Linked DNA regions of Caenorhabditis elegans. The protein of the gene in region 2 interacts with the protein of the main gene of each other region in a pairwise test. Each region holds a gene or a part of one and is shown on either strand. Other genes may lie near its edges.

Evidence for each region. The genes of interacting proteins can lie anywhere in the genome.
Region 1: the proteins of prde-1 (region 2) and set-16 interact in a two-hybrid assay, tested with the Caenorhabditis elegans proteins (one large-scale study listed by BioGRID).
Region 3: the proteins of prde-1 (region 2) and gei-17 interact in a two-hybrid assay, tested with the Caenorhabditis elegans proteins (one large-scale study listed by BioGRID).

Annotation. Positions count from the first base shown.
Region 1 is NC_003281.10:13,640,145-13,647,883, reverse strand, and holds the start of set-16 (PHD-type domain-containing protein), read right to left. Parts: upstream 3,969-7,739; 5' UTR 3,904-3,968; coding exon 3,898-3,903; intron 3,846-3,897; coding exon 3,744-3,845; intron 3,689-3,743; coding exon 3,612-3,688; intron 3,550-3,611; coding exon 3,109-3,549; intron 2,092-3,108; coding exon 1,446-2,091; intron 1,241-1,445; coding exon 1,127-1,240; intron 672-1,126; coding exon 331-671; intron 28-330; coding exon 1-27. Other genes in the region: drr-2 (RRM domain-containing protein), read left to right, coding at 4,346-4,366, 4,418-4,501, 4,545-4,743, 4,800-5,119; T12D8.10 (BolA family protein), read left to right, coding at 5,557-5,619, 5,669-5,766, 5,921-6,056; acbp-5 (Acyl-CoA-binding domain-containing protein 6), read left to right, coding at 6,196-6,394, 6,448-6,656, 7,041-7,202, 7,315-7,432, 7,527-7,663.
Region 2 is NC_003283.11:15,535,448-15,543,038, forward strand, and holds the start of prde-1 (piRNA biogenesis factor prde-1), read left to right. Parts: upstream 1-2,796; 5' UTR 2,797-2,810; coding exon 2,811-2,990; intron 2,991-3,060; coding exon 3,061-3,426; intron 3,427-4,419; coding exon 4,420-4,760; intron 4,761-5,873; coding exon 5,874-5,997; intron 5,998-6,047; coding exon 6,048-6,164; intron 6,165-6,883; coding exon 6,884-7,223; intron 7,224-7,591. Other genes in the region: F21A3.4 (Trichohyalin-like), read left to right, coding at 1,219-1,269, 1,324-1,554, 2,050-2,202, 2,255-2,539. UniProt on the Caenorhabditis elegans protein: Nuclear factor required for the production of piwi-interacting RNA (piRNA) precursors. Specifically required for piRNAs produced from loci associated with the Ruby motif. Promotes binding of the transcription factor snpc-4 at piRNA genomic clusters.
Region 3 is NC_003279.8:9,100,615-9,111,400, forward strand, and holds gei-17 (E3 SUMO-protein ligase gei-17), read right to left. Parts: upstream 6,969-10,786; 5' UTR 6,926-6,968; coding exon 6,854-6,925; intron 6,729-6,853; coding exon 6,693-6,728; intron 6,611-6,692; coding exon 6,497-6,610; intron 6,418-6,496; coding exon 6,388-6,417; exon of another isoform or gene 6,374-6,387; intron 6,084-6,373; exon of another isoform or gene 5,986-6,083; intron 5,706-5,985; exon of another isoform or gene 5,493-5,705; intron 5,447-5,492; coding exon 5,081-5,446; intron 4,411-5,080; coding exon 4,285-4,410; intron 4,229-4,284; coding exon 4,134-4,228; intron 4,089-4,133; coding exon 3,992-4,088; intron 3,908-3,991; coding exon 3,435-3,907; intron 2,699-3,434; coding exon 2,385-2,698; intron 2,284-2,384; coding exon 2,027-2,283; intron 1,789-2,026; coding exon 1,651-1,788; intron 1,390-1,650; coding exon 1,224-1,389; intron 1,059-1,223; coding exon of another isoform or gene 916-1,058; exon of another isoform or gene 709-915; intron 620-708; coding exon 561-619; 3' UTR 232-560; downstream 1-231. Other genes in the region: nduf-7 (putative NADH dehydrogenase [ubiquinone] iron-sulfur protein 7, mitochondrial), read right to left, coding at 7,824-7,901, 8,793-9,008, 9,297-9,496, 9,888-9,993. UniProt on the Caenorhabditis elegans protein: Functions as an E3-type smo-1 ligase. Mediates smo-1 conjugation to air-2 in vitro and is required for proper chromosome alignment.

The DNA of each region.
Region 1 (7,739 bases), on a different chromosome or scaffold from region 2:
AGACCTTCACAGGCACCATGTTGCCATCTGAAAATGTTTAAGAATAATTACAATTTTTGTTTGGTTTTTTAAAAAAATATTTCATTGTTTTTTATTAAGAAAAATCTAAATTTTTCACAAAAATTCACAGAAATTCATAAAAAAATTTAATTCGTTCGAGATTTTCAAAAATAAAATTTTTAAAATTAGCAACTGAATAAAAATTCCTTTTTTAGACAATTATTCGACAATTTCGGACAATTTTGATGTATTTGACTTCAAACTTCAAATTTTCGTTCAAAACTGAGATAAAAATCTGTTTTTCTGGATTTTCATGAAAAAATCACGAACTTGCTGCACTGGCTACACCGAATCAGCTTCTCGTTTAATTGATAATTCCGTTCACATCTCGGGCATTTGCGGAGTGAAGCACACGGGAAACACAGTCCTTGCGACGTTAAATCATTGCCAGACGCTGCTTTATGATTGCATCTCCGGCATCTTGAACACCACTGACACCTCCACGGTCCTTGGGGAATCTTGTCTAGTAGGGGTTTCATGCAGTAAATGTGATACGAGACATCACACTCATCACAGAGTAGCAGATTCGCCTCGTCGCCTCCGGTTCCACATCCCTCGCAAACTGTACAGTCAAGGCATCGCCAACCACGTCCGACTACTGCTGAGTTGAGCTGCACAAATTGAGAAATTAGCGACTAGATTTAAAACACCTCAACATTTTGGTTATTTTAATATTTATTCCTGCTTTTCATAAATTTCTTACTCTGAATGTATCTTGTCAGTTGGAAAATCGATCAAATTTGAATTTTACAAAATTGGCTTGAAAATTAGACTTTTACGATTTTTTTCCATAGTTTCAGAAAATTGTTTTTTTTTTGCATCAAATTGGTTGCATAATATCAGATACTATGAAAAAAAAGATTTTACTAGTGAACTATTGACACTATGACAGACACTTTGAAAAAAAATGTTTACTCTAAATTTTTTAATCCGGGATTTCGAAAAAGAAATTAAATCAAATTTATAGAAAAAAAAATCAGATTTGAGAATGCCTCGAAACTGAAAAAAGTTTTTTTTAAGTGAAAACTCTATTTTCCGTCTAGAAATTGGGATTCCGCCTGCCTACCTTATCATGTAGGGTTACACAATACGTGTGATACGTCTGTGCACAATTTGAGCATGCCACCATCGATCCTTCGGGCCCTTTTCCAATCGATCCGCATACTAAGCACATACAAGCCTGAAAAACCGGGAATTCGTTGATTTTTTGAGCTTAGCAGTCAATTTTTGGAAAACTTTCCGACAAAACCTTCTTTCAAAAAAAATAATCTAAATTTCAAATTTTCAAAGATATTAAAATTATATTCTCAATATTCATCACAAAAAATAATTTTTATAGTTTTTCCAGCTAAATTTCCTTTATGACACTCATATTTCAATCTTACCTTTTGCAAAAACTCGTCATTGACTCTGCAAACAATAGCCGTACGAATATACTCTGGCTCATCAGATCTTGAGCCGCCAGACTGCCGTGAGCTTTCATCCTCGAGCATCAGCTCGTCGACTTCTCGAATTGCGACCGCCTGTGGGGCCTGCTGGAAACTCGGAACAATTGAGGGCAGCGGATCGGGAAGAGGGGTCTGAAGGGCAGGAGGAGCAGGAGGAGCAGTTGGAGCAACATTTTGATAGGTAACACTGGGTGGAAGAGTAGGAGCAACAGTGGGTTGGGTTGGGTGAAGCTGTGGGGCACCATTGAACATTGGGGCTCCCTGAGCACCGTATTGCACCTGTTGAAGCTGGGCGAGCTGAGCAATGGCGGCTGCACTACCGCGCCCACGGCCACGTCCACGACCCGGTCCCTTGCCAGGCTGACGTGGCACCGACGTGCCGTTTCCTCGTTTTCCCCTCTTTCCACGTGTCGATGATGTTTGTTGCGGTTGGTGAAGGTGGGAGAAATCACCACTCATCGCCTGAAGCTGTGTGGCGGAAAAGAAGCCCGACGGGCCGGGATTCGTTTGTCGACGAGTACCAGTGGATCCTCCGCGGCCTGGTTTTTTCTTGGCGCCTCCACCACGTCCACGTCCGCGAGTGCTGGAAAATATTAATTTTCCAAAAGTTTAATTTAACAAAAGTGTTTTTATAAATACCTTATTTCTTCTATTAATATGGCTGCAATATTTTTCGAAGGTCTCCCCGCTTGCAATACTATTAGGAAGTGCCATACTAATTTTCAGAACATTTTTCTGAGTTGGGACTTTCTAGTTTTTACATGAAAGAATTCCAATTTTATTTGGAAATTTAGAAAATTTGATTGTAATTGCAATAAAAAAGGTTCAATAATTCCAATTTCATAGAACTTTGTCAAAAATTATTGCAAAATAAACATAAAATATAGTTGAAATCTTAAAATTAGTGAGGCCAATTTGCAGGACAAAAGTATATGCAAGACTATTGGGGAGTGCAATACTAATTTTCAGAGGGGGTATGAAGTGCAACACTAATAGGGAGTGCAAGTCTGATACGGAGGTCATACTAATAAGAGAAATACGGTATGTATCGATAAATTTTTCTGAAGTTCAGAATTTTTCTAATTTACTAGGTTAAAAACTACTTTTTAAAAAATTATTTGTGCCAAACTACCAGAAAACTATATTTGTGACCCAAAAAACAAAGAACACCAGCGAAAATTTGAAATTTACAGTAATATATTTCTCGTCGTGGCGAGACCCAAGTAAAAGTGTGCTTCCCTTGAGGAGGCCCCACGAAAAGGGGAGCAAAACGAAAAGGAGAGATATGAAAAGGAGAGCAACGAAAAGGGGATCTGGCACTGTGCCAAACGCTATTTTTCTCGAAGGAAACGATACAACGATGCTCCGATGTTACGTGTGTTGTTAAGCGTATCTTCTATAAGAAAATTTCAAAAATCAACGTGCGTTGAATGAGAAAAAGGCGTTTTGTGCGTTTGGCACAGTGCCAGCTCCCCTTTTCGTTCTGCTCCCCTTTTAGTGGGGCATCCTTTCCTTCAAGGTATTACGGTGTTCCTTTAAGGCTTTAATTCGATTTTCAAACGAATTTTCGTATTTCACGGAATTTTAATCTACGGCATACCTAGCAGGCACGAAATCCTCATCGTAGTCGGAAGCCTCTTGATAAAATGGACTACTATTCCGATCGCTGTCATTCGTACCACCACCATCGCTAATTTCATCCATAAGCTGTGCCTGTGTGGCCAACATCTGCTGAACTTGATTTTGCTGCTGCTGCTGACGTTGTTGCTGCATGGCGGCTATTTGGGTGTACACATCCCCGTTGAAATCCTGACTTCTAGGATAACTGGACGGCAGAGGTGCCGGTTGCATTTGTAGTGAAATCTGGGGAACTGAGGGGTCGCTGAATGGAGAAAGAGGTGCGTCTTGTCCGCGAGAAGGGCGTGCGGAGGCTGAAAGCATCACGTCGTCCGGCAGCATTTGGCTTCGCCGACGACAGGATATGCAGACGAAATTGTTCAGGCTTGAGACGTCGGAAGAGTCGCAGGAGAGATGGTAGCTTCTGGAAAGCAAAAAAAATGTATTTTAATCCGGTGAAAAACAATTGAAAATTCAAAATCTCACTTCCGACAAGTTGTGCACTGCCTCGAATCTGCAGTTATCATTCTTTGGCACGATCCACAGCTGGACGACATGTCACACTGCAAATTTTCTGATTTTAGAAAAAAAAATAGTGGAAAATCGAAAATTTCCTACCTGACGGGCCATATCCAACGACATCGTGCCAGAACGGTTAACATCCATGCAGTTTTCACATAGTTCCGTGTTGTTGAACGCGGTACCGCCACATTCGATGCACTGGAATTTTAATTTTGATGTATAGTTAAAATTTTGAACGGTGAACACTTACAATCATCTTTTGGACTTCATATAGTCGGCTTTCTCGATTTTTGAAGCTTCAATCGATACGAATTTGACTCTAAAATAATTATTATGAGTTATTCCACTGAAAATGAGATAAAAATCGTTCAAACTGCCGCCCATTCTCCTCTAACGGCTGTTGAAAAGGGCGTATCGATTTGTTTGGCATCTTGCCAAGCGTTACATGTCTGCGTCTCTACGCGCTGCGTAGAGCCCCTTGCCATGTTAACGGGGCGGCTACGCATCTCTGCCGCACTGCGTCTCTCTGGCACTGTGCCAATACACCGAATGCCACGCGAGATTGCGGACTGAGAGTTGGAAAAAAATTAAATAAATAATTTGATTTGCAAATATGTATTTTCGAGCTTTCGTGTGTGCGTTTTTAAAGACTTAAATGAATTTCAGAAGACGTCTCACTTGGGGAAGCTTTTCAAGCAATGGCCGATGAGATTTTTAAGGTTAGTGGGTACTTCAAAGCAATGGCATTTTAAATATATCGAATTTTACAGGCATTCATCGGTGGGCTCCCCTATGACTCCATCGCCACTGACATCGAAACTATATTAAAGCACTGCAAGTTCACAGATGAAGAGGTACTGCGGAAAAGCAGGAAATTTCTAATAAATGTTTTTTCAGCTCAAAAAGTTCGATATTCATCTTGTGCACGACAGAGATTCTGGAAGTTTCAAGGGATTCGCATATGTCACTTTTGAGAATGAACAACAGATGAATACTGCTATCAGTGGCCTTAATGGAGCCGATTTCGGAAATCGCGTACTCAAGGTTAATCGTGCCCAACAGCGCGATCGCAGTGACCGCGGAGGTGGTCGTGGAGGTATTTCAGTTATTATTTTATTTTTCTCCGCTCATTTTAACAATAATTTTGCTCAGGACGCGGAGGAAACTTCGGAGATCGCGGAGGACGTGGTCGTGGAGCAGGAGGCTTCCGGCGTGGCGGTGAAGGTGGCCGCTTCAACGAAGGAGAGCGTCGTGGCGGATTTGGCGGCGGAGGACATCGCGGTGGATACCGACAACGTCGCGAGAGCGAAGAACAACACAAAGCCGAGGAAACTTCAGATCCATCAGCTCCGCCAGCAGAACGTCCACGTCTCAACCTGAAGCCCCGTACCACAGATGCCGCTGAGATCGAGGCTCGCAAGAAGCAAGAAGAAGAGGAGACCAAGAGACGCCAGGAGAAGCTTTTCCAATAAACTTTTTTTCGATTTTTCCCTGAATTTCGATCCGCGAATGACACGAAATCCTGCAATCATAGGAGCCTATCCCCTAATTTGTCCCCTCGTCACTTTCCGTCAAGTTCCGCTGGTATAACCATTTCTTCAACCCCTTCTGAATGTCTAATGATCACAAATTACCTCAGAATCCTTTCACATAAAAAGTTTGTTTGTTGTTAAACCCCAAAAAGTCCCAAAAGCATATATTTTCCCCCACCTACTTGTTGTTCTGTTGATTTTACTAGTTATTCCTTTATTTTTCTTTATAGAAATACACTAAAAACATGCGAAATATATGAATAATCAATAAAAAAATATTTTTATACTTTTTTTTTCAAAATCTGGTTTTTGTGTGGTTTTCTCCAATTTTCGTTTCTGCTCAATTTTCAGTTCCTAAATTAAATTTTAATCGACAGATGGCATCACCAGTGGAAAGAGTCAATGCGCTACTCACAGAAGCCATCAAGCCGCAGATTTTGGTGAGTTTTATTGATGTTGTTCATTAAAAAAACCGAAAATTTCTTCCAGAAAGTCGTCGACGAGAGCGGAGGCTGCGATGGATACAAATTTCGGCTTCTCATCGTCTCTGAGGCGTTTGAGGGCAAGTGTACGCTGCAATCTCACCGGTAAGCCTGAAAATGCTGAAAGCTTAGGGTGGATCCACGTACGTGGAAATTAATTTAAACGGAAGAATTTAAAGGAAGTCACAGTCAAGCTGAGCTGGTTTTCCCAACGATTGCACTAAAGTAATGTAAATATAAACTTATTCCAATTTTACAGATTGGTCCAAGCTGCTCTTGCTCCAATCATGGACGAAACTCACGCGCTCACCATCTGCGCCTACACACCTGAAAGATGGTCCCAAATGACGACGGAAGACCGTCAAAATGCCGGTTGCCAGGATTTGGTGGACTAATTTGCTGTACTTTTTAAATGAATGATTCTATTTAATTATTCGCTTTGTTTTTGAATTAAAGTTGGTTATTTTTAATCGAAAAGGCCAGGTCATATTTCTTTGTTTCCGACTGAAATCAGTAGTTACACAAAGTTTCCAGATGATTATTGCATGGGCAGTCTCTTCATTCCAGGACCATCCAAAAAATGAAAATCAAGAAGAAGAACCCATCGATACGCTGCTTGAGGCGAAATTCGACGCGGCGACGACAAGGTTGCCGGGGTTTCTGACAAAAATCGATCAGAAAACTATATTAAAATTCTATGGACTCTACAAGCAGGCTGTAGAAGGTCCAGCAGGTATTTAAAATGGACGATTTTGAAGCTGAGAAACTAAAAGAACACAATTTCAGACTCGAAAAAAGGTCCCTACTGGTTCGAAACGGTCGCGCGCAAAAAGTTCAACTCGTGGCTAGCGAATAGTCAGATGAGCCGGTCGAGAGCTATGGAAGCGTATTGTGAGCTCATGGCTCAGCTTGACACGTCTTGGGATCCGGATGCAGAGACGGTGAAGAAAAGTGGACTGTGGGAGAAGATGCCCAGCACAATGGGTGTTATCGAGGTGAAAAGGATAAAAAATTATTAATCCCCACTTAATCATGCTTTTTTAAATGTATATTTTAAATTTTTTTATGTAGAATAGTACTGAAAACTTGAAAATTGAGCCTCTACGTCTATATTTGGTATCAAAACTACCGTAATGACTTAAAGGAGGGCGACCTCCCGAGACGAGGGGTCTCGCAGCGAGTGGGAACGAATTACTGTAGTTTTTTTAAATGGTTTTTGAAGCTTTTTCCTACTTTTCCCACCAGATTAGAAACCGTTTTAACAAGGCAAACTTACGAAAGATGCAAAAAATTCAAAAAAAAAATTAAAGTTGAGTCTGTGAAATAATAAAACACGTAAAGTTGTTACTAAATACCGTACCCCTCTTATCATTTTTCAGCCAGAAATGTTCGACGACGCTGTGGTGCACCCGCCAACGAAACTGGAAACCGAAACCGAAAAGAAATGGTTCGCGGCGATGCGCGTGAGCGATATCGACACTATGCGCACACTTTTGAGAAATGAACCCGAGATTATTGAGGCCAAGGATCAATATTTGGCGGTAAATAATTTGAAAAAAATTGATTTTAATTTTTCTTCTTGTAATTTACACCGTAAAAGCTACACTCCTAACAGAAACTTCATCATTCTTCGAAAATTTTTCTAAATTGCAGATGACCGCTCTCCTATGGGCTACGGACCTCGGATGTGATCCAGTTGTTCAATTTCTTATTGAAAACAATGTAGATGTCAATGCAGTCGATGGATGTCTACAGACAGCGCTACATTTTGGTATGGGTTCAGTGGAAAGTGAAAAAAAATTGAATTTACATTTTTTTCCAAAAACGGGAATATTTAAATAAAAAGTACAGTACATTTTTTCCAGCCGCTCAATGCCACCGACCACTGCTCGCCGAGCTTCTACTCCAGGCGGGCGCCGACCGGTCCGCTCTCGACGCCGATGGTCTGACACCTTCAGAATGCTGTGATGACGAGGATCTCCGGAAGAAATTGACGCCATAGGGCGGATTTCCTTAGACCACCCTGAATTTGTAAATATCAAATTTCAACATAATTTTTTTTTTGATTTTGTGTGTGT
Region 2 (7,591 bases):
TTATACATGCGCGAAATTTTGCGATTTTTGTGCCCCGATCTCAACACGACAAAATTTTGTGTCATGTGTGCGCCTTTAAAGAGTACTGTAATTTCAAATTCTTGTAGGTGCTGAATTTTTAGTGTTTTTTTCTAAGTACGTATTCTCTCACTATTAGTTAAAAATTCTCTATTTTTTATTGTTTTATTAAATCTGTTTCTGTCAAAAAATATGAAAATTCAATAAAAAAAAGTTTGAAACTACAGTACTCTTTAAAGGCGCACATCTTTTTGCATTTAGCAACAACATTTGTCGGGTCGAGACCGGGCACCGTATTTTTCCTGAAAATTGCATAATTTTGCGTCAGAGTAATATTTAGTTTTTTCGTGTTTATTTTAATGTGAAAGAAAAGTTGAATATAAAATTATTTTTTAAATGGTTTTTCAAATTTTTTAAATAAATCCGAAAAACTGCAAATCCTTTTTTACTCGAGGAGTACACGAGTCGCGTAAATCGACACAGGACACAATTGGTGGCCGAGGTTTCTAGGTCATCGGTCAAAAGAGAAGCCCTTCCACTGAGAGCTCACAGAGCACAAACTTAAAAAATAACTTTTTACACGTTTCTAATTAATCCCTCATGGCTTCCCCCAGTATCAATTTTACTATAACCTTCATATAGTATATCAGGATTAATTCCAAATTGTAAGAGGTCAAAACATAATCCGGTTAGTCAGTCTAGACAGGTTGAAGATTTTTTTTTTCAGAAAAGTACAGAAGGATCTTTCGTCAATATAGTGAGAATTTGAACATCTTGGGAATTTGAAATTCGAAAAAATGCACGTGGCCGAGTTATCCCTTGTCGCGGCCACACATCGCCCCAAAATTGAGGACGATTTCTTTCAAATGCTCCTTAAAATGAGCCAACTCAAGAACGAAGTCAATGACGTGGTACTAATGTCGGTTTATTTTGTCGAATTTTTTTCGGATGAGAGGCATGACTCATAGGAGCAGAGCCAGAATTTTTCCAAAAAAAAACTTCTCCTCGGGGAGTACACGGATCAGAGAGCTTGAAAATCAAGTTTTATACTTTTATTAAATCAATTAATTACCAGCGTGAACATTCAAAATTTTGATTTTAAAATATTCCATAGAATTCAAATTTCTCGTGGCAAATGTGGAACCTATTCGACATTTGAATTTATTTCCGAATATTTTTCTCCGAAAAATCAATCGATAAATGGATATCAAAGTGATTCGCGAGAAGTTGACCCTGACAACGTCGATTACGGTGGGTTCCGCGCGAAATTTCTATTCGGAAAAAGTTCAAGTGATTTTTTTTCAGAGCGAATCGGTCGCCGAATACGAGCACGATGTCGACGAATGTTGTCGCCTTCTGGAGCACAAGCTCGAGCTGGAAATGGAGAAGAAGCTGCAACTGAGCAATCGGATCGATGTCGTTCAGTCGCAGGTCACCGAACTTTGGGATCGCGTGGATAAGGCGAGACGTCGCGAATCGGACATCTCGTGTCGCGTCACCGCCTGGGCTCAGCATTTGTCGGAGATGATGAATGAGGTATTACATAGTCGTCAAAAAATTATGTGGGTCTCACCACGCTGTGAACGAGGTACTGTAACTCGTGTCGATTTACGGGCACTAACCTATAAAAAGAACCACTAAATTTTGAGAATGGGTATTGCGCAACGTATCTGACGCGCAAAATATCCCGTAGCGAAAACTACAGTAATTCGTTAAATGACTACTGTAGCGCTGGTCCGATTCTGAAAATCAAAAAAAACTTCCGAATTTTCCGAGAAATGTTTCCGAAAATAAAAAAAAGCCCGTAAATCGACATCCGTGCTACAGTAGTCATTTAAAGAATTACTGTAGTTTTCGCTACGAGATACTTTGCCCGTCAGATATGTTGCATAATACGCATTCTCAGCATTTAGTGTTTTTGTAATAGCGACCCGTGAATTATCACAATGAAAAGTAACCTTTTGTCCGCGTGACGAGACCATGCGCGTAAGATATGGCGAAAACTAATATTATATGCAATTTTTTGTTCAGGTGAAGCTGAAAAAGGCTAAGATGGGCACAACGATGGAAATATCCGCGACACTTTCTGCTGAAATTCAAGAAAGTCTGGATTTACTCGCGGAAAAGCGAGTGATTGTTCAGAGAATGCGGGAGGAAATCGACTATCGTCGCCACTTGCACAAGGTTTTTATTAATAAATCTGAAAATGTTTAAAGCAATATTGAAACATTTTCAGCAACAACTCAAAGATTTGAAGCTGGATTGTGACAGAGAGGAGGAGAAATGCGAATATTGGAATGATAAAAGCGCTGAAATCGAAAAAGTTGTGGAAATGCTCAAAGAGCAACGCAAATCGCTTGGCGAACGTGTTGAAGAGGAGAAACGAATGGAGCAGGAGCAGAAGAAGATGCTGGAAGAGCTTGAAATGTTGTTGAAGAAAACTGGGAAGAAACGGCAGATTTTAGATGAAAACGCCAATTTGGTGGCTTCTTTCTCCAGTTTGACCGAGGAAAGCTCTTAATTTTTATGTTTTTTTCTTCAAAAGCATTTTTTTTGTGTGTTTTTTCCTCAAAATAAATCATTTTTAATTGTTTTAAAACATGTTTTTGAAATTAATCGTCAATAACGAAAGTTGCGTCAGCTACCACTGCTAGCGCGTTTCTCGTGTTGCTTGCGCTTTTCTCGATGGCAGCGAATTTTAAATTTAAATATTTAAATTTTCGTTTTTCCTGCCTAAATTTACTTGTTTTTCACCATTTTTCTTGTGAGTTTATCAACTTTTCAGGTAAAAAATGAACAGAAATCGCAAAGGACACGATTTAGAAAACATTGAGCATCGATTCACCGATGAGGACTTGGCAGGTCTGAAGGAGCAAAAGCTTTTTAATGGTAAATGGATTATTTTGGAGAAAAAGGAGAAACGAGGAGCCGCGTATTGTTATCTTGTGTGTGACAAGCCGTGCAAGAAATTTGTGAGTTATTAAAAAAAATTAAATTTAAAAAAAAAAAAAGTAAAAAAAAAATTATTATTCGAATTTTCAGGGGATTCTTTACTTGGAAATCGGCGAGGACAACGTGACAACCATCGCGAATCAAGTAGATTTCTATCATCAGCAATCGTCACTTGGCTATTCTCATCGATTTTCCGCTTTAATTGATGCCGGAATCATAAATAATCACGTCTTCTTCATGGTCGTCAGAATCCGTGCAGGACCCACTTTACATGATCTTTTAAAATGTCTGAGCAGTGATAAAATGTCCGTAACTACTGCCAGTTTCCTCGCTGTCGACATGATTTCTGCTATCGAAATTCTGTCAGCTTCCGGATGGGTTTTGAGAAATTTCGACTCGAAACAATGGATGTTGGATATCAAAACGAGGCAGTTTTATTTGGCCGATGCTACTGATGTACGGACTATGTTTCCGCTTTTAAAATAACAATTTCCACTAAAAAATTGCAAGAAAAATCGCGATTTTCAGCAACTTTTCACCTAGAAAACGCATTTTTTCGGAATTACACGAAAAAACCAATTTTCTTAAAAATTCACCTAAAAAATCTCGATTTCCAGCATTTTTTCACCTGAAAAGCGTATTTTCTTGGAATTGTACAAAAATCGCCGATTTTTAGCAATGTTTTCACATAAAAAACTTAATTTTTTGGATTTATACAACAAGAAACCCCGATTTTCAGTAATTTTCCTGAAATTCGCCCGAAAAATCTAAATTTTCAGCAATTTTCACCGAAAAAGCGTATTTTCTTCGTATTATACAAAAATCTGTGATTTTTAGCAATGTTTTCACATAAAAAACGTATTTTCTCGGTAAATCCACAAAAAACCAATTTTCAGTTATTTTTCTTGAAATTTGCCCGAAAAATCTCAATTTCCAGCAATTTTTACCTAATGGGGTTATTCAAGTAGTGTCGGAAAATTAAAAAGTGTAGAAAAATTACGTCACAACCTTATTCAAGTAGATAAAAACATGTATTTAAATACATTTGTGACGTCACAAATGTATTTAAATACATTTTGCTACATTACTTGAATAACCCCATAAAAATTTGAAATTTTTGGGAAAAATGAATAAAAGTCCCAGAATCGTCTGAAAATCAACATTGTTGGTTTCAAAAACTCCGCAAAACAGCGAGTTTCTTTAGAAAAATTATTAAAAACATATACTTCGTCAAAAAAAAACAATTTCTACTGAAAAAAACTAAAAATCGCAATTTTCAGTCGAAATTCGAGTTTATTTTTTCGATTTTATTTTTTTATTAATCAAATTTTTGATTTCTTGGAAGAAATTTCGGTTTCAGACTCTTAAAATAAACAATTTATGCATTTAAAACCCCAGATTCTCGTTAAAAATCGATTTTTCTCATACTAAAATTCCAAAAATTTGCAGATCACCGTCTCCTCTGACAAACGTCACCGTGCCATCGACGAGATTCATCTCAGAACAGCCGAATCTATAGATTTGCATTGGAAAACCGGAGATTTGATCTACGCGCCGCGCTCTTTTGTCGATCGAGATCAATCTCATCGAATGACTGAATTGGATATGATGGAAATGATGCTCTATGTGCTCTACGATTGGACACATGGAAAATTGCCGTGGAAATCGTCGAAATCCAGAGAAAGAATTATGGAAATGAAGGAATTGTTCATTGAAAATTTGCAAAAAGAGCCGGAAGAAACGAATAAAGTCGAGCAGCAAATTGATGTTGATGTTTGGTTCGATATCGCGTATGGATTTTGGAAAATTTAGCAAAAAAATGAGATTTTCATGGAAATTCATCCAAAAAATCGGGATTTTCAGTGATTTTTCTTCCTTTAAGAATGATTTTTGCTAATTACATTTTTAAAAAATCACGATTTTTAGCTATTTTTCATTTAAAAAATCATTTTCTTGCTAATTATTCAAAAAATTCAAATTTTCAGTGATTTTTCACCAAAAAAAGTAGAAAAAAGTAGATTTCTTGCAATTTACACAAAAAATCTCGATTGATAGCAATTTTCACCTAAACACAAAACAAATAATTATCCCAAAAATCCAGAATTTTAGCATTTTTCCTAAATACTAAAAATCATTTTTCTTGCAATTTTTATAAAAAATCGTCTTCTAATTTTTTTCACTCAAAAAATAAAATATTTTCCTGAAATTATCCCGAAAAGCCCCGATTTTCAGCTATTTTTCATCGAAAAAAAATCTAATTTTTATGAAAATTCACCCAAAAAACCCCGATTTTCAGCGATTTTTCACAAAAAAAGAATACAATTTTCTTCAAAATAACCCGAAAGGTTTCAATTTTCAGCATTTTTTTATGGAAAAAAACTAATTCACCCTTTTTTTTTTCACGAAAAATCAATTTTTTTAGAAATTCACCCAAAAATCCAGATTTTCAGCATTTGTTCTTCTAAAAAATATTTTTCTTGCAATTTACATAAAAAATCACTTTTTTTAAAAGCAATTTTTCACTTAAAAAAATAAAAATTTATTGTAAACCAGCCGTGGACCGCACCTTCGGCGCAGCCCCCGACTTCTGGGGCTGAAAACTAATTTTTCTGAAACTACCGTAATCATACAGTACTCCTACCGTACCACTATTGTACCACTACAGTACCCCGACTATATCCCTACACTAAGCCCAACTCACTATCCTCCAGAAGCCAAAACGTCACAGAATACAAAGACTACATAGACTACAAACTATGGACAAACGGAATAAGCGCTTTATATATAGTAAATGATTACCTGAAATATTTAGATTTTAAGCAATTTTTCCGAAAAATTGAATTTTCCTGCAGCATTTTCCATTTTAGCAGTTTTTTTTTAACGGTAAAAATGTCAATTTTCAGACTCCGAAACTTTGCAAAACATCTGAAAGTGGCAAAAGAAGAGCAAGAAAAGCTTGAAAAACTGCCGGTTCGTGGTGGAGCATGGTGTCCAAAGGGTCCACGTGCTGGAGCACAAATTTCGACTGTAAATCGATATTTTCTGGAATTTTTGAGCTAAAATTTCGTATTTTTCAGGTGAATTATCGTGGAATCATTGACGATTTCTACAAAATTGTGTGCAGCGGACGACCGGCTTGGGCTCTTCATTGGCGGGATGTAATGCTCGATTGGGACCGGAAACTGGAGAATACGGTACGATTTGGGATTCAATTTTTTGCGGAAAATTGGCCAAATTAGCGAGAATTGCCAAAAATGGATTTTTTGAGAGAAAAAAATAGTTTTTTTTCGTTTAAAATTGAATTTTTCACAAAAATGTAATTTTTTTTGTTGAAAAATTGAGAAAAAAAACTTTCCGTGAAAATGTCCAATTATTCATGAAAAATTGAGTTTTTCATATAAAATTGAACTTTTTGTAAAAAAAATTGAATTTTTTATGAAAAAAAAATTATTTGTCATCGGAAAAATAAATTTTTTTTTTGTTGGAAAATTTACTTTTTAGTGAAATATTTGAAAAAAAAACAAGTTTTCTGTGGGAAAATTGAATCGTTAACAAAAAAAAAATTTTCATGGAAAATGTAATTTTTAGTGGAAAAATTGAATTTTTCGTAAAAAATATTGGTATTTATTGAAGAATAACAATGTTCGTTAAAAAAAATTTAAGTGGAAAAAATTGAAAAAATCGAGTTTTTTGTTTAAAATTGAATTTTTCACAAAAATATAATTTTTAGTAAAAAAAAATTGAAAAAAAAACAAAAATTGAGATTTTAGCTGAAAATATTTTTTTACAAAGTCTGAAAAATGTTCAAAACGCCCTTTTACGAAATACAGTAGTTTTGGGCTATTTTTGGATACCCACCTGCAAATTCAGTTTTTTTTTCAAAATTTTCTTCTAAAATAATAATTAATTTCAGCCAGAAACATCGAAAATGTTCGAAGCCTACGAAAAACACCAGAGATCTCTCGAAATTTCGGAAGAATGGGAACGTCTACAAGCGACTCGCGAACATTATACAGTGATGAAAAATCACACAGAAACGGAAATGGCAAAGAATCAGGCGGCAATTGTTGAGTATTTGATGCCAGAAGAAGAAGCTAAAGAGGAACCTATTGATAAGAAGAAAGATCCAGAAGAAGAAGCAGCAGCAGCTGTTGTAGGGAAGAAAAGAAGAGGAAGAAAGCCTAAAAAGAAGGATGATCCGAAAATGGAATTGAAGGATGAAGTGAAAGATTTGAAAGATTTCGTGGTTGAAGGTATACAAGTTACAGAATTTTCAAAAAGTCGGCTTCATATGAGCGGCAAACGATTTTTTCCAACAAATTGCCGGAATTGGAATTGCCGATTTGCCGAATATGCTGGAAAACTGGCAAATTGCGGAATTTGACGGAATTGAAATTTCCGACAAATTGGCGAACTTCATCCCCGTGACTATTCTGTAGACTTTTCAAGCCTGTTTATAGACTTTTGGGTAGCTATAACAGATGATACTGATGAATAATGCGTATCTAATAACTATTTAATCTACGAACTCTGATATAGTTGTGTAACAGATTAAAGACCTGTAAATATACTTATTTTTGCTCAATCTCCTAAATCTCGGAGCTAATTCTGATTTCCAACT
Region 3 (10,786 bases), on a different chromosome or scaffold from region 2:
AAAACATAAAATGCGGGTATTCTTCTCTCATTTTTTATTTGTTTTTATTTTTCCTATATTTATTTTATTTTTCATTCTTTCATTTTTGTCTCTCTCTCTTGTGATTTCTCCCTGTATTTTTCCCCCTAGTCTTCTCACTGATTCGGTAGTTTTTTCTCTCAAAAATGTTCCCATTTCGCCACCCCGGTCTAATTATTATAATTGATTATTTGTTCTTTAAAACAAATATGTATAAATAAATCGATTCATTGGAGAACAAATGCATCCATTTAAATGGAAAAAAATATGGTATCAGGAAAGCCGCATGGCCTAGATTCTTACAATTTCTAGGCCACTTGTGCATTTTCACGGCTGTGGAAAAACATCGGATGAAATGGATGGAAAACTAGAAACACGATTTGGGGGCTCGATTTGAAAATTAAAACATATTGAACAAAAATCACGGAGAGAAATGTGAGATATTTGATTGGGTCGGTTGAAGTTCCGAACATTAAATTAAAGCCAAATTAACTCAAAAAAAAAACAAAAGAATGAGATTAAGCAGTATGATTGGAAATCAATCAATTCTGACGATACTGCTGCTGCGGGTATTGTGGAGGATAATATGCAAATGCACCACCTGAAACTTTGAATATTGAAAATCTAATTTTTAAATAAAAATCTAAAATTAGTGGATTGTGTTTTTCAATTGTATTTAAAAGATTGCATACAGGATACTCAGCTTCATTTAACAAAAACATTACCGTCACAAAATTCTAGTTAAAGTTCATCGAATCAGCCGTATAATGCAGACAAATATAACTTACTAGACTAAAGCACAAGCAGGATTCTGTTAAAAATTGTAAATCGTGGATATGGGTAAAAGATGCACATAAATCAAATGAACTAGACGGCACAAAAAATACAATTCATGCATTAATTCCGTGAGCCACGTGGATTGCGCATAGTGACTCCTGAGTGATCGATCATCAGGTGTCCATTTACCAAAAGTCGAGATGCATTTGCTTGTATTTCAGCCATGGAAAGAATTCGTGGTGGTTGGATGTTATTGGTGTCACCTGAAAGTGAGGCCAAACCAAGTAAGGGAAATAAATATATATTTGCATGCAGGATGGTTGCAATTACACAACAAGTTTACTCGCTATTAACTGAAGATCGTGAAGTGATTGTTTTGATGTTTAAACATAATATACAAAAACTTTGTAAGGTGTACAAAAAATTACCGTTTGACATTTGCTGTTGAGCATAAAAAGACGGAGACATGATTTGTGGTGACTGCTGCTGCTGTTGTTGCTGCTGAAGATGGTGCTGCTGCATATGAACCATTTGATTGTTTCGCCCTATGAGCCCGTTTTGCATTTGGAAGTGTGGTGCCTGGTTTATCATTGGCTGAAAACGAGAGTTCAATTTTTAAAAAATTTTGAAAAATATTTGTTAAGTTTATAATTCCAGACGTAAAACTAGTGCATTTTTTTCAATTCGACAGAATTCTAGTGCAGTGGACAATCATCTAAGTATCTTATCCAATTAATAGGGGCTTGAACAAAGAAAAAAAAGAGATTAAAACAGGATTTTTTTGTTCTGTCGTTATGAAAAAATATCACTAGAGTATTAGTGCGTGTGGTAGACTATTAACACGTGCTGGCATACCGAATATCCGTATTGTGATGTAGGTGTTTGAGATCCTGAAGAGGGATTCATATAAGATGATTGAGCAAAATTCAATGGATGTGTCGTATGGTGAAGTTGAACAAGCGGAGATGATTGTGTTGATGAATTTGCTGACTGCTGCAACAAACAGACAGTTTAGTGAGTGTGGACAGGGAGAAGCAGATGTTAGTTTAACAATATCATATAATAATATAATCAAATATATAATTCAATCTTTGTATTAGTTTTGGTTAAAAACGGATAAGTTATAACTAGAATACTGATTTCAGTCAAATTAAGAACAAATCCTCTTAAAACTATGGAAAATAACTAACAATATTGGCTCTTTTGAAGATTTGTGTTTTTCTGAACTTACTTCTCCTATTTTGTTCAGCGCATCCCGGATAGTTTTACTTGCACCCTCGTTCATTCCCATTTGCGTTGAGGCCATTCCAGATGGAGATGAGCCAACTGGCATTTGATTCTGTTGAGACATCTGACGCATTGGAAGATTTGCACTTGCAGCTACTGGACGAGGTGGTGTATCATCGAGAGTAATAATCTCTATGTCATCGTCTTTCGTCTTCTTTTTCTGCTGTGGTGGTGTCTTTTGAGCAGCCAATTCTGCGGAAGCTGAAATAAGATTTGAATTTCAAGTGAATACTTTTAATTGATATTGCTAGAAACTGCAATATTCTCAGCTTGTCTCACACCACGCCATTTGAATAGCAAACCTGTGTGTCTGCCAGGAGAGAAGCTGTCGTTCAGAGAGTTCATTATACCTCTGTTCAATTCCTCATCATCGTCATCACTCAAGGTAATTATGTCGTCGTCAGCTGGTTTTTTCTTCGCTGCTTCATTTGCAAGTCCATTGCCATTTGTCGAAGAGCATGACGCTGTACCGTTAACAGTAGCAGGTACAACGTCATCGTCGTCATCATCTGAGATGCAAAAAGCTTCTTCCTTGATAACATCGTACGAGCCATCTTCCTTAAGTTCAACTTCCGTCGTATTCTTATCCACCTTTGCAAGCATATCGAGGAAATAACTGAAAGATGAAACAATATTTGCATAGTCTCAGAACATTGCTTTTTATTTTGATATTTGAATATTTCTTAAATAAAATGTTGAATTGGGTAACGTCTAAGCAGTTTCTCAGGCATTTCCGTGACTAAAAAGTATTTTCCAATTAAGAAAACGAGCGAATAGTGCGAACAGACAGCTTCACACAAAACTGCATGAAGTTAGCCATCGAATTTGTTGTTTGTCCATGATGCACTGTTCACAATATGAATCTGGATCATGGTAAACATAAGAGTGAGAACACTATTTGGATTATTAATTGATTGAGAATTATTTACAGGGATTTTGAATTTCTGAATAATAATAATTTTCAATTACACATTAAAACTCTTGCTCAATTATGATGATTGACCTTTGCCATTTGTTTCATGTTCTCTTACGTCATGAGCTGAATTTTGAGTTGGAGACCAATACGAACTACTGATAATAATCGTAGACTATATTTGCAAATACATGCCTATTTTAGACGACGCGTTTCCGAATTTCCTAATCACCGTTTCATCATGGCTATTTTAAGGGTGTTGTCCATCGCTATAGATAACAATTGTGTTTGGAAAAATAATAGTGTCTTCACAAGAATTGGAAATTTCGAAGTGAGGGAACGGTATCTAAGAGTTAATAGAAAAATAATGAAAACATAGAATTGAGATAATTCGCTTTTTTTTAAAATCAAAGTTAGTCAGTGTGAATTGAAAACTTACTCATCAACAATAAGTCTATCATATGGGCAGTTACTCGAGCAAACAGGGCACTGCCACGTTGGTTTCTTCTCGTTCATCATCAAATATGAGAGGAGATCAAAACATTGCAAATGGGTACAATCTTGGCATCTAGAAGGCGTTGTCATTCTTGTCTTGCACAGTGGATCAAGAAGACTGATATTAAGACGATCCATAGCAATATCATCTTCACCTCCAGACAGTTTCTTGATCACTTCTTGCTTGGTAACCTCAAGTGATCGATGTCTTGATACATTCTGATTAAGACGTTTAAAGAGAATATCCGAGTTAACACGATGAACGAAATAAACTCCAGCTGCCCATACACGTTTGTCGGCTAACCATTCGACTGCAACTGTGTGCTCTTTCTTGTATCTATTCATGTTTGAAGTGATATTCACTGGACGAGATGGTCGTTTCGGCTCAGCATTTGTCTTATTTGTTGGGATTACATTCTGAAATTTGAAGAAATAGTAACTCCTAACAATAATTGATATTTTGAAATTAAATATATTTCGTGAACGTTTCAAATCTCATACCGGCAATTGAACGACAGAATCATCAACACGTGCGTAGCAATTGAGTGGAAAGTCGTCTTTTTGAGGACCCTGAACTGGTTCAGTAAGATTGAAGAACCTGAAAACAAGGATTTAAACCGATTTCAATGATAATAAAACGTACCTCAACTGCAATTCATATCGTGGAAGAGGTGTAACATCAGCTCGATACGAAATCTTGGAGATGTGCTCAGCAGTCAATAAGAACGGGAATTGTAACTGAAATTAGTAATTAATAGGTAACCGGCTTGGAGAGCGAGTAAATTGAGACCAACCTGTTTTGTTTGCTTCAAAGTTGGACTGTCTGATGAATGCAGCTCGACAGGCTTCAGCAAAACAGAAATAACATCGTAGAATGGAAGTGGAAGCGGTTCAAAATTATCAGCATACATTTTTTTCGGCTGAAAAAAAAATACATGGGTTAGACATGTGGGAATGTAAGAAAGAGACGCTGAAAGCAATTTTCAGGTGATAACATTGAACTCGTGTGAGCGAACTGTATAACACATGCCGCGCAATTTCTAATGATGCCTGCTTTTTGGTAGTAAAAAAACACTTTTACATGCTACTACGAACTAATTGGAAATAAAACTATTTGAAAATTGAGCACGGCAATATGAAGAAATGCCTAGAGAGGATTATCATATTAAGCTTTTCTTCATGAACATGCTCCTAAGAATGCCATACTGTAATATCTTAAAACCACACTTGTTCTAGTTTTTACGCCATTCGGAATCATGCAGAAAATTTCGTGATAACAGCGTGCAAATCTTGGAGCTTCGAATTTTTCTTTCTTTTTTTTGAATGCTACACGCAATTCAAAAAAGTGCATTCAATAAACGGTAGGACATTTGTTTGCATAATGTATCACGATTGAGGAATTTTCAAATAACCGCGACTGGCCAATATGATATATGTGCCCAGAAGAAGCTACCAGTGTAATTTTTTCAGGTAAATTTTCCGTTACGGTCATAAACCGAAAGTATATCTTCACATGCTTTCCGCCTCGATATTCTTGCGTTCATTCTTATCGTGAATTTCAGGCAATAAAAATGCGGCGAAAATGTTCACCCTATTTGATTTTTCCGACTTCTGCAAACTTTGCTGAGAAGAACGTCCATGATTAGGAAAAGATGAATGGAGCGGCGCGTTGGTAGCAGCAGCAGCAGCGGGAGCGCCGTATCTCATCGAGCCCCTCAGTTGCTCTTCGAGCAGTTCAGGAGTTAGCCATCTCACCGTCGACGGATGGTGCTGCTGTTGCAGATGTGAATGATGTGACGCCATCATTTGTTGATGAAGTAGATTGTGAGGCTGTGGTTGTTGTTGTTGTTGCTGCTGATAATGATGATTGACCAAGTGATTACTAGCTCCAGATCGAGATGGCAGCACATATGGATGAGACCGAACTTGGGATGTTGTTGCAGGTCGCTTCTGCATCTGACATTTTTTAATTTAGTTATTAAAACAGAAACGATTTACAAACAATTTTTTAGGCTCTAACTTTAAATATGTGGAATATTTTAGACAATTAGAACATTTGCAAAAATACATTTGGGAATAAAAAACAAAGCGGAAGAGATTTTTTGAACGTTTGTTTCTCAATAGAGCGCACATGTCATCAGGAGAGGTGCTTGCGAAGAAATGATATATATTGATAAACCTAGCCGTTTTTTTGGAGTTTTGATAACAGGACTTTCTTAAAATTTAGTAAAATTTCAATAATAAGCCAACTAAAAATTCGATTGATTTAAATAGTTACGCGCATTCGAATCAACTGTTGTGAAATAACAACAAAAAAAAAAACGATTCCCAGTTTCTCACGAGCGACATCGTGCCAATTCGCTTCCATATCGATTTTTCAAAGTGAAACAATTATTAAAAAACTCAAATACCTCTTTAGGAGTGAAAATTTGAATTTGATTTTCAAAAAAGTGTGACAGTATTCAAAAGAATCAATCTAGTAAAATAAAAATTGTAATGAAAAACTACGCGCCAAGCTACACGTATGAAACATGGAAAGAAGGTCAGGGCAAAGTACAACTAAGAAATTTTCGAAGATCCACTGCTTTTGAGGTTTTTAACACCTTATTACGGGCGAAAGTCCCGTTGCCGGAGCTGCGAGGAAGCAAGTGCAGAATGGATGAAATATTTGAGGAAACTTAGAGAAACAAAGGGCTACATATATGGTGGGTATGAGGATGCTAGTGGAGATAAATGCGAGACTTATTGTGTGAGTAAAGAGACAATACTAGGTGAATGAATAATTTCCTCCGAGGTAGAACACTGGTAAACGTTACCCAAAGTACCTCACACATCTATTTAATCAAAGTTGACATAGTTTTTTTTTAACTGAAAGTATTTAACTTTTTCATACTTACCTCATAATTTCCGTTCGGGAAATTGGAAGCCTGTAAACTCGAGAAAATTAATGCTGTAAAACATCATTTAAAAAAAAACATAAATAAAATAACGAGAAAAACAAATGACCATTTGATAAATTTGCCGAGCATGATGAGGATCACGCAAGGATTCAACGACGACCTTCTGATGCTCCGATTTTTGTGGACGTGGCTTTCGAAGTGACAATTGCGAGATAATCGACTGAAATTCATAAATTCTTGATTCACATCGCCTTCTCGTTGAGGTATTGAACAATAAAGATTGATTAAAAACGGTATCTAACCTGAAGATCGTGTACTCTCAATTTCATGACGGCTGCCTGAAAATTTGGAATCCATCAGTTTTACTTTTTGAAAAATAACAGATTGGAACAGAAAAATCCTTGGGTAAAATACAAGAATTTTAAACTATTTAATAAATGTCAATAATTTTCCAATAACTCACGTGTGCTGCCATATTTTCCTGATGTGTTAATCCATTGTTTATAGGTATTTGCCATTGATTATTCGGTAACATATTGATTTCAATACCTCCGATCCTCCGCTGTGTCTCGAAACGACGGAAAAATATAAAACTGCAGATTCGGAAAAGGGATATTAAGGCGAATTTGAATGGTCCAGTAGTGAAAATATCACAAACAAAAAGTAGAAAAATGTGATCTTTTCTATTCCCTAAAAAGCGTTTCGAAAAGCGCGGTTCCGTGTGGATTTCCCAATTTTGGAAGTTAATGGACCAAAATCGCGCAAAAAACACGGGCACACCTGATGAATCAGTTTTGCAAAATCCTGCAAAAAATATTTCAACGTACTCACGTTAACTCATTCAGGAAATCAATGAGATCAATGTGTACGATAGGTTTGTGCCCGTGACAAAGGATCAGCAATTTTCAGAAGAGGCGCCAGAAAATTTGTGTTTTTGAATTTGCGCAATACAATTTTCAATCCACACAGACTTTTTTTGTATTATTTTCAATCCAAAAACCAAATCCAAAAAAAAAAACTTGGCGGCGCTATAAAGTGCGTCGTGATCTCCTTTCAAATCACTATATAAAAATTCACAGACTTTGTGAAAATATGAATAAATAAATAAAAAGAGAACCACAAAGGGTCGGCGTTGTTAACCGTTCCAAAGAAAATGAGAGAAAAAAATAGAACTTTAAAAAAATGTTATCGACTTTTTTTCAACCAAAAAAAACATGAGGTAAAAATAGACACTATTCGAAAAAAAAAGTAAACCGCAGAAAAAAACGAACGAAACTATCGATATCAGATCTAGAAAAAAGAAAATGGAGAAAAGGTGGAGAAACACAAAAAATGAATGAAGTGGGGCTTACTCGTACAAAATGACCATTTTTCTGCGAATTTTTTCACAGTTCTCCAACTTTCTCGTACTTTCTTTTCGCCTCGTGTTCTGTTTAGCGTCTGTACCAAAGTTGAGCTTCTCGCTTACGCTTGATCTTCTTTTGAAGTTGGAGAACTCCGTATAGAAGAGCCTGGAATAATTTTTTATATTAAAATTATTTTCTTTATTAGACGAAACATATTTTCAGAAAAGACTGCAGGCTAGGAATATTTTTAAAGCTATTCAGATAATTTCACTAATTTAAAATGTATTAGAAATTCGCTGATACAGTCAGAATGTGATAAAGTATTTCGAAGAGCTAAAGATTTAAACAAAACACCAAGTTGTTGTTGCATTAGATACGGCAAAATATTCATTAGTGAATGCTTGAGAAACTAAGCAGAAATAGAGAAATAAAGACTCAATGGTATGCAAGAGAGCGTAGACAACACAAGACTTTCGCGCCAATTCGATCAATAATTGAGTACACATGCACCCACGTATTTTCGAAATATTTACAATCGGTCGTGGAGCGCGATTACATCATGCCGTCCTTAGCCCACCATTCTTAAATTGGGAAATTTTTTTCAAAAATCTTTTTCGGAAAAACCCGAAAAAAACAGTTTTGATAATGATGGGGTGTCGAGATTATAGTGAGGTACATATTATGACGTCATAGAATTATTAAAATTCATTTTTGAACATAGCAACACGCTTTTCTTGGAATATTTTCAGACATTAACTGAAACAAATTGTTACTCAATTAATGGAAAATGAGCCTGCACGAGATCTGGACACTCATTATCCTTAATTGAGCAGTCAGATTTTGAGTGCGTTTTTTGTGTAACAGGTGGACCAAATAAATATGGATAATGAGAGAAAATGAATTAGCTGTGGTGTGCTGATACGATAACGTGAGATCTAATACTGACATCAAGCCAGCCACTAAACAAACTCTAGACTCTCCAAAAAAGATTCAAAACTCAAGGTATTTTTGAAAATGAGGCAAACTTAAAAGCGATCATAAAAATTCGACACATACCTCAGCAGTTGGTGGGCATCCTGGTACATAAATGTCCACTGGAATCACACGATCACATCCACGAAGTACAGAATATGCGTAATGATAATATCCTCCTCCGTTTGCACATGATCCCATTGAAATAACCCATTTTGCTTCTGGCATTTGATCATATATGCGGCGAAGTGCAGGTGCCATTTTGTTGGTTACTGTACCGGCAACGAAAATCAAATCGGCCTGAAATATTTTGATAAATAGATAGAATAAATTTTGAAAACGCATACACTGAGAGACTGAAAACTAAATTTTGTCATGACAACGATATCATTTTTTTTCTTGTTGACCAGAGAATGATGCTATGGAGTTGATATTTAGGGGTGCGAGTTTTGAGAAATAATTGCCAAATTAATTCTAGAACTTGGAAAATATGAATTTTAAGACTACATTTTGTTGTTGATGGGAAAATTTCAACTCAAAAATTTAATTTTACACAATTTTTATTTCAAAATGATCAGTATAGCTAACCTGTCTGGGAGAGGCTCTGAAAACGACTCCGTACCGATCCATATCATATCTTGGCGCAGCGAAGTGCATCATTTCGACAGCACAACATGCGAGACCGAACGTCAGTGGCCAAATTGAACCTCTTTGAGCCAAATTCAGGACATCATCAAGACGAGCCAACGCGTACTCGGCTTTAGACGATGGATTCAGGAATGGAGTTCCTGAAATTACAAAATGATTTCAATTAAATAAAATAAAAGACATTCTGAGCTTAGAAGAATTTTGATCCGATGAAAGAGGGATTCCTAAAAATTTAATTAATTTTAGTTTTCCCGCATTTTTAAAAAATATTTTTTCTTGGTGTACTATGAAATACACAATAAAAATTAAACTTTTTCCCAATCAACAATGGTAATTCAAAATTTTTTTCTTGATCAAGAGACAATCTTGGTGTTATGAATGAATCATAACTCTCAAGAATAAACAATTTTTAAAGAAACAAAAGTTTGGATAATTTTGTGTCATGAACTGGCCTGGCATTCCGATTAATTTCCGAATTATAAAACAGTTTTCAATAATTTTTTAAAGAGATTATTTGAAATTTTAGTTTACCTGTGGTGGCAATACCCTTTGGTGCCTCGCTGTTACTGGCGATCGCTTGAGTCGAAGCAAGACGGCGAGTACCGACTGCCCCGGCAGTTCGAAGTGCCGAAAGCATCTGAAAAATATCAAAATTTGAATTATCATTTCATAGACTTTGAAAATAAGATAGACGTTAAGATGATACCTTTTAATAGTGTGGATCATAATTCTAGCAAACAATTTTGTAGATAAATTAGTATAGGGGTGAAACTAGAAAAAGCGGGAGGAAAACGAATCACATGATGGTGATGAACCGAGGAAAAACTAGTTTCGAAACGGGCAAAAAGGCGAGGTGACCAGAAAATCAATAAATTGAAGGACATACACCCAAACGAACGATCATAGTGAAAAAGGAGACGACGGGTGAGAAACGAAGAGTCCTTCGGCCCGGCGGCCCGCTTCGATCGATAATTTCCGTCTGAAGTGTCTGGCGCTCTCCAAGCGCTGTGTGATCTCTCGTCGATGTGGTAAGAGAGGAAAAGACGCGGCGCCCTTCGAGCCGCCCATGTCGACGCCAAAAAATAGACGAATGGAAAGAAGTTCATGAGAGAGAGGCGGATATAGAATAATTTTAATGAATATTAAGGGATTAGTGATAGAATTCTCGCGCGGTTAAATCTGAATAGATAAAAAAGCAGCAAGGGGCTTCACTTTTTTTAAATGGAGAACATAATATTAAAGGTATCGTAGATTATCGAGGAAACTTAAATATTTTTTCTTTTTCTGAATAAGAAATGTGCTTATTTAAACGTCATAGGGCACATTTTCACAGAGAGTTTTTGAAAATAATTATTTTGAAACAAAACGAAGACTTAGATTTAAGAGTTTTTTATACTCATAATTATCTTCAGAGAGAGAGAGAGAGAGAG